Linked DNA regions of Nothobranchius furzeri. The main gene of each other region encodes a partner of the protein of the gene in region 2 in a complex. Links are inferred from orthologs where the notes say so. Each region holds a gene or a part of one and is shown on either strand. Other genes may lie near its edges.

Region 1 (3,744 bases), on a different chromosome or scaffold from region 2:
TCCTGGAGCCACAGGTCACTATGACTCAACTTTGGCTAGAAATGAGAATAAAGTAACTGTAACGTAGAAATATATTTAAAAGTAGGTGTAATAGATTTTCATGGAATAATTCCATTGAATATTAGTTCAATTTAGTTTTATTTATATAGCGCCATAACACAACAAGAGTCGTCTCAAGGCACTTCACAAAGTAAACATTCCAAAACAGGTCAGGGGTCTCATTTATCAAACATTGAGTAGAGTCCTTACTAAAACCGTACTTAAGCTCAACAAAAAAAATGTACTTACGCCAAGTAGGTTTGTGATCTATCAAACAGGGTGTACACACAGCTGCACGCAATCTCCGCTTCATAAATCGGAGACTAACGAGAAAGTTTCTCAGCTGCTTTTTAGTCACATCCCGCCCTCACCACGCCCACTTACTGCCATAAATGGTCAATGCAAAGTGCCTTGTGGACCTCATGCATATACATAAGCCGGCTGTTGCAGCGCTCCGCAAATGATGATGGCGACCGTAGATCAAGGAAGCGCAATTTTACACAAGCAGAAGTTGAGGTACCTGTGGGTGAGGTGGAGAAATGAAAGGAAGGGCTTTTGCAAAACAAATGAGAGAAAATCCACGGAGTGGCACAGCGTTGCTGAAGCCGTCAATGCTGAGTTCTTCAGAGAGATCTGTGGTGGATATAAAAAAAAATGGTCCAATCGGGATTCGATCCCCAGACTCCCGGGTAAAAGTCACACACACTAACCAGTCACCCAAACAGATATCTCCCTTGTCCAAGTAGCCAGGGCGCATGATCAATCGGGTCACAGTGACAGGACACACACACTGTAACAGACTCATGACATTCTATCTCAATCTGTCCTGCTGATATTCTGCATTCCGTATTCTGGCTTCAGGGTGTGTGTGTGTGTGCGTGTGCGAGTGTGCACGCGCGTGTGTGTGCGTGTGGGGGGGTTTGTTCTGTGTGAAAACGAAGCAGTACAAGTGATAATGCTGCAGGATTTCATAATTTTATCCTTCTCAGCAGCATCACTGCAGGTGCTCTCATGTCTAAAATGTGTGTAAGCCAGGTCCTTAGTCAACTTAAAGTTGCGCACATTTTTCTGCTAAGTTTTCTTTCATAAATCCCAAAGTTAGCGTGGAAAGTTGCTCACGCAGTTTTCCGACCCCGTTTTGTGCGTAAGCAAGCTTGATACATGAGGCCCCTGTTCATTAAGCCATTCAGTAAAAAGTTTCCTATATTAGGAGCCCTGCGGATCACATCAAGTCAATCCTCATACTAAGCAAGCATTTAGCGACAGTGGAGAGGAAAATTCCCTTTTAACAGGAAGAAACCTCCAGAGGATCCTGGCTCAGTATAAGCAGCCATCCATCACGACTCACTGGGGGTCGAGAAGACAGAGCAGACACACACATACACCAACACCAGCCCACACACACACATTAAGTAGTGTTTCTCTGGTTACATTGTGATTTCTTAGTAGATATTCTATTTAGTAAGAGATTAACTTTATTGTCTTTAAGTGAATTTTATAATTAATTCAACAGGTGAACTAGTAGTAGCACATTCCATGTTAAAGAAAATAAAATGTTATCAGGAGAGGGAGAACATTTAAGTGGTTAGCAGCAGTGTGCCAGCCGGCTGCTTTTCAGAGACACGTGTCCTGAGGGTAACGAATTGTTGTTGTGGAAGAGCTGTTTTAATAATTTTCCGCCTAGAAAAATGAATCATTACTCGTTTTGCAAAAGTTTATTTTTCTTTCTTATTTCTAAAGCTTAATAATATCAGCATCTGTTTGTTTTTTTACAATAATTACCTTAAATATTTAATACTAGATATTTACAGGAGAGGAAAAATAACTTCTGACTTCTCACAGAATTCTTACACTCGTGTCAGAACAAAAAAGAGAACTCTTTTTCAGTAGCTCTAATCTTTTTTTTATAGATATTTATTTAAAAAAATAGAAAAGTAAAATGTCCTGTAGCTGCAGCTCTGAATGAGTTTTATTAGATCGACTGAGGGGAAAACGGCTCGTGATTTAGGCTGCAGACTGCTGAGGTTGACAATTCAAGGACAAATGAGTCGAGATGAAACAGTTTGATGTATCTTCTCGTCAGTTTTTTAACCAACTTTCATCCTTTTCCCTCTGCAGCTGTTGACCATCTTTGTCAGCGCAAAACTAGCAGCCTACGTGAAGTTCTACCAGAACAACAAAGACTTCATCGATTCTCTCGGTGAGTTTTCACGAGAAAACAGAAACGCCAAACGGGCGTGTGACAGACGAACTTTTGTCCTGTGTAGCTGTGATCAGTTTCACTCTGTTGACACAGAGCAAGAATGTTTGTGTCAGCATTGTTTTTCTTTTCCTCGCTGCTTGCAGAGCAAGGGTAAATTAAACCATGTTTGGGTGGACTCTGAAAACAGAACAGAGACACGTTTGTGTTAATGAGCAGAATTCCCGACCGTTATTCCAGGGAAACTCCCAGAGTGGACGAGTAATTGACTGTGACTGTTTAATGATCCCTGTGTGACGCTCCTCAGGCCTCTCTCATGAGCAGAACATGGCCAAGATGCGTCTGCTGACGTTCATGGGCATGGCGGTGGAGTTCAAGGAGATCTCCTTCGACACCATACAGCAGGAGCTGCAGATCGGAGCTGAAGATGTTGAGGCCTTCGTCATCGATGGTAAAAGCTCTTCACACTTATCGTGTTACGGCAGATTGGACTCTCTTCTGAAGCTTCCATGGCTGCAGCTTCTCAGTAACATGCAGATAGGCTCCTGTCACTGATGTAAGCACGTTTTGCTCACTGATACCTGGAGATAAAACGGACTAGGCTGCTCTTTGTAGGCATCTAGTGATGGCTCCAGCGGTGTTGGTAGATGTGAGTAGAATGAGGTGCAAGTGAAGATGAGTGGTGTGCTGTTGCTGCAGCGGATGGAGGAGGAAGTTCCGCTCACCGTGGTGGTTTTAAGGCACAAAAACAAAGCTCTCATACAACACTGGATCATTCGACTCACATAGGGAAAAAAATATTCTAGCAAATACAAAAGTTTACAAAAACAACAAATCTGACTAAAAAGCTGTTTAATGTTGCTTTTAAAAGCTTGTCTTTAATGTACAAAAACAAAATAGTCATAATCTAGTAACCAGACTGCTCCAGAGCTCATAGTTGTGTTTACTTGTAGAGATTATAGAGTTTCCACACATATGTACCCATGTGTACACTTTTAGACGGCTTCACCAAGAGCTGTTGATTTGCCTGACAGGATTTTGAGTTTTTCTTTCTGGACGTTTGAGTCTAGTCAGGAAAAAAAGGATCAAGTCAGAAGTGTAAACAGTGCTTGTTGTGCAGCCCCTGTTGGTCAGCTGAGGTCTTACACTTTTTGTTCGTATTTCTGCTTCGCTGTGTTCCTGCAGCTGTTCGGACCAAAATGGTGTACTGCAAAATCGACCAGACGCAGAAAAAGGTGGTCGTGAGGTAAGTGTTTGTGCTTTCAGGTGTTTTACTAGTCATCGTTAGGGAAAGGAAGGTTATGCCGATTGTGGAAATACTTATTTTTCTATTTATGTTCCAACAATCAGTAAGTTAAAAATGGCTACAAAGCAGAAGGAGGGAATAAGAAAACAGGAAAGTGTTGCCATGTTTGTGCTTTCGCCGTTTTAGAAACCGTAGAGGTCAGATACTCGTGGGTTTGATAAGCAGATCTTCAGGCAGCTTCATCGGACCGCAGAGCGGT
Region 2 (4,364 bases):
AACATAGCCAAAGTTATTCACAAAAATACACGTGTCAGCACAAAAAAATGCTCTAATGTGAGGTAAGGGATATATATATATATATATATATATATATATATATATATATATATATGAGGATGGAAAAATTATTGAGATGGGCACATGACGTGTCAAGGGGTCTTTACATAACACCCCCCACCCCAAATCCGCACAAGCCTGCTGTGTCCCCCCCACTTCTGAAATCAAAATTTCGTCCCTGCACGGGGGGACCTGGTGAATGACCTGCAGAGAGCTGGGACCACAGTAACAAAGGTCACCATCAGTAACACACTACAACGGCAGGGAATCGAATCCTGCAGTGCCAGCCGTGTTCCGCTGCTGAAGCCAGTGCATGTTCAGGCCCGTCTGAAGTTTGCCAGAGAGCACATGGATGATACAGCAGAGGATTGGGAGAATGTCATGTGGTCAGATGAAACCAAAGTAGAACTTTTTGGTATAAACTCAACTCGTCGTGTTTGGAGGAAGAAGAATACTGAGTTGCATCCCAAGAACACCATACCTACTGTGAAGCATGGGGGTGGGAACATCATGCTTTGGGGCTGTTTTTCTGCTAAGGGGACAGGACGACTGATCCGTGTTAAGAACAAAATGAATGGGGCCATGGTAGCAGCTTCAGTGACAGACTGATCCATCCTCGCAGTGTGAAGGAGAGATGCTGCAGGTCTTTCCTTCCGGCCACTGTTAGACTCTATAATGGTCATTGCTAACATGGAACCCATACATCTGTAACATTCCACTACAAATATCATCACCAACATGTGCAATATTGCTATTACTGTTGTTATTATGTGCAATAATTACCTTGGCTATCTTAATTTACAAATATGCTCTTGTATATAGATGTGCTACTGCTGCTATCCTCCTTAAACTGTTGCAATAATGCAGTTTCCCCACTCAGGGACTGAAAAAGGTATTTTTGTTCTTATTGTTCTTGAAAGAAATTGCTAGAAAACATCTGATTTTTGGTCATGTCTGCACTTTGGTGCACAACTGGAAAGGCTGTGTGTGTGTGTGTGTGTGTGTGTGTGTGTGTGTGTGTGTGTGTGTGTGTGTGTGTGTGTGTGTGTGTGTGTGTGTGTGTGTGTGTCTGCATACCTCTCCGAAAGTACGTAGTTGCACCCTAGTAGACCTCACTTCTAGCCTAGTGAACCGCAAACATATATATCAGTGAAACCGACCAAACACGTCTTTGCAAGTTATAGAGACAAAATGTACAAACGGTTTTGATAAACATGACTAAATTTGTGTTCGGTAGTTTTAAAGGGCAATAAAGCAGAAATTGATGTGATAAACCATAGATATGTGTATAAACCATAGACATAGACACATCATGAGGATATGTCTGCGATATTAACGCTTGAAATTACGACAGTTGCGCTAGAAATACGGCAGAAGCCTCTTTCCGCTCTTTTTACGGTGCGTCACTTCCTCTCACGCCGGCATTCCGTCGGGTTTTACATCGGTGTAAAACCATCTGGGTGTAAAGACTCGATAAAGAGTCACATTATTCTCGGTAAGTTTCCACCAAAGTTTGCTCAGATGAGAGAGGAGTATCAGCGCTTGTTGGCGCTGGGAAACATCTCTCAGAGAAAAATGACAGTTTGCAAAAAGCCGGCTAGTTAGCTTAGCTTAGCTTTGTTAGCGGGCCCACCCGACAGGATGAGCCGCCCTAGCTAAGGCCGTCATCAGATAAAATATTTACAAAGAACACCCGTAACTTTGACATTAAATTAAGTGGAAGAGATTTTATTTCTCACTACTGAACACGGATTCATGCACGTTTGGAGTAAAACGCATTTGGCTGCAACGCATAAACAATAGTTAAATCTGTACAATACTATTCAGCCCAAGACCTGAAGAACACCGTTTAAGAAATAAAGATTTAAAGCAGTTTACTTTTTTTACTTTATCACATCAATTTATGCTTTATTGCCCCTTTTTAATACTGATAATAATTAAGTGTAAATGAATAACTAGGTCTCCGACCACCTGGAAATACAATTGGGCGTTTAACTCAAACCATAAGGACTACATTGCCATCCTCCTTTCCACTTCGGGTTTTCTATTCTAAATCCGTGGACTGGTGTCCTGTGGTTCCACATTTTTGGTTTGGCTTTCCTTGGTTGTTCATTTTCATTGTTTTTATGACCTATGTGACTGTCTCTGCCTGTGTTGGTGCAGCGCTGTGGTCGGTTATAATGCTGCGTTAAAAGCGCTCTAAAACTAAAGTGGTATGGTAAATATATTAGAAATGTGTCTGTTACGCCTGTCTCAGAATAATTCAACCAGTAAAAATAAATTAACATGACTGACTGGGTTTATTTTATAGACGAATGCTTGTTTGCATGGTCACTAGGTGGTATTTTAGAGTCTCTATAAGTGAAGCCAACAGTTGGCTGTTCTTGGACCATTTCAGAAATCAGCAGACAGTGTTTTAAACCAGTGATGTCAGCTTTTCCTTTTTATGGCTTTCTCTATTTTCTGTAAAATGTTTACCAGTTGAACGATCTGTGTTAATGACTGGGTTGGTGATGATTAGCCCACTGCGCAATCTGATCAGTGCCCATGTGTTTGAGAGCACTGCTGGAGAGATCAGAGCTGCTGTTGCTGAGACCCGTTGACGCTCCGCTGTGCTTTAACCAGAATCAAAACGCAGCATCGCTGAAGTCCGGTCTGTGTTCTGCTTCGATCTCAGGTCATGGCAAAGTTTCACGCCCCCGTGATCCAGGACAACCCGTCTGGATGGGGTCCGTGTGCAGTCCCGGAGAAGTTCAAAGATATGCCCTACCAGCCTTTCAGCAAAGGAGACAGACTGGGAAAGGTCTGCCCTCACCGGAGCTCCTCTAGCAGAACCAGAACCAGAAGCAGGTTGTGTTTGATTCTTACTGTGTTTGGTCTGACAGGTTGCTGACTGGACTGGAGCTACTTACCAAGACAAGAGATACACGAGTGAGTGAGATGGTTTAAATTCTTTATCTACGTATATGTTTTAATGTTAAACATTTGAATTATTTTTGTCTTTTTTGCTTTTCAGATAAATATTCCTCTCAGTTTGGAGGTGGGAGTCAGTATGCCTACTTCCATGAGGAAGATGAGACCAGCTTCCAGCTTGTGGACACTGCTAAGACCCAGAAGACGGCGTACCAGAGGAACCGCATGCGGTTTGCTCAGGTAGAGCATATTGTTGCAAAACAGTTTAGTCCTGATGAGACTATTGAGCTTCATGTAGGTCAGCAACAGACGTGGCTTTGTTTCCACAGAGGAACCTTCGCAGGGACAAGGACCGTAGGAACTTGACTCAGTTCAACATGCAGACACTTCCTAAGAGTGCCAAGCAGAAGGAGAGGTGAGATCATTACTCTGAGCTCCACTGGAAAGATCCAAGCTGAACAATGAGCTTTACCTCACTCTTTCGCCTTTTCAGAGATCGTTTGCGTCTGCAGAAGAAGTTCCAGAAGCAGTTTGGTGTCCGTCAGAAGTGGGATCAAAAATCTCAGGTGTCGATTATTTAATTTCTATTGTTTCCCTTTTAGAGCAGCAGAAATCAAATCATATTCACCAATAAAAAAACACATTCTTGGTTTATTTTTAAAGGTGCGGTTCATTGTTTAGTCGGTGCATCTGCAGTGGTCTCTAGTAGGAAGGGATACCTTGTAAGTCGTACTCTGTGGGTGCATCGGGCAGAGTGATATTTGTCCTTAGGAAAACCGATTTAAAGTCGGGCACATCCTTGGGCAGCCAGGTGCTGTAGCAGAATTTAATTTAAATGTATTTTTATGTTCATTGTTAAATACTCTAAATAAACTTTATTTATGTGTCTAATTTTAACGGAGTGCACAACGTTAAAATTTAGAAGTTGGTTCAAAAACCGATTCAACTTCAGAAATTTAGTGCATTAACTGATGTTGTTAGTGACATTTTAGCATGACCAAGAAGTGGAAAAACATCTGGATTTGGCCGTAAAAGTCACATCGGCTATCTCCTACGTGTCGGCGTCGACTTTAGCTGTGTGCGTCGGCAATAGAGAAACCAGTAGAGGTTGACCTCTATTTTCTGCTTCAGTCTGAGGATTCATGATCACAGATGAATGATTCTGAAGTATTTGGGTCTGTTTGAAGCCGTTGTGATGGTCTTTGGTGAATTTGTGTGTTTGTGCTGCTTCTCAGGCCCAGCTGAAGCCCAGAGACTCCTCTGTGGAGGTGAGGAGTGACTGGGAGGTGAAGGAGGAGATGGACTTCCCCAGACTGATGAAGATGCGATACATGGAGGTTTCTGACCCTGTTGACATGTAGGTGAAGCTTGTCTGGTCTGGTCTGGTTTGT

What was found.
Region 1: eif3d (region 2) and eif3m share a complex: the UniProt entries of both Homo sapiens proteins name them as parts of the eukaryotic translation initiation factor 3 (eIF-3) complex. The link is inferred for Nothobranchius furzeri from reciprocal best matches to the Homo sapiens genes EIF3D and EIF3M.

Annotation. Positions count from the first base shown.
Region 1 is NC_091749.1:32,403,347-32,407,090, forward strand, and holds part of eif3m (eukaryotic translation initiation factor 3 subunit M), read left to right. Parts: intron 1-2,157; coding exon 2,158-2,239; intron 2,240-2,546; coding exon 2,547-2,690; intron 2,691-3,424; coding exon 3,425-3,485; intron 3,486-3,744. UniProt on the Homo sapiens protein: Component of the eukaryotic translation initiation factor 3 (eIF-3) complex, which is required for several steps in the initiation of protein synthesis.
Region 2 is NC_091745.1:29,238,978-29,243,341, forward strand, and holds the start of eif3d (eukaryotic translation initiation factor 3 subunit D), read left to right. Parts: upstream 1-1,412; 5' UTR 1,413-1,555; intron 1,556-2,737; 5' UTR 2,738-2,740; coding exon 2,741-2,863; intron 2,864-2,945; coding exon 2,946-2,991; intron 2,992-3,076; coding exon 3,077-3,213; intron 3,214-3,302; coding exon 3,303-3,388; intron 3,389-3,466; coding exon 3,467-3,539; intron 3,540-4,208; coding exon 4,209-4,330; intron 4,331-4,364. UniProt on the Homo sapiens protein: mRNA cap-binding component of the eukaryotic translation initiation factor 3 (eIF-3) complex, a complex required for several steps in the initiation of protein synthesis of a specialized repertoire of mRNAs.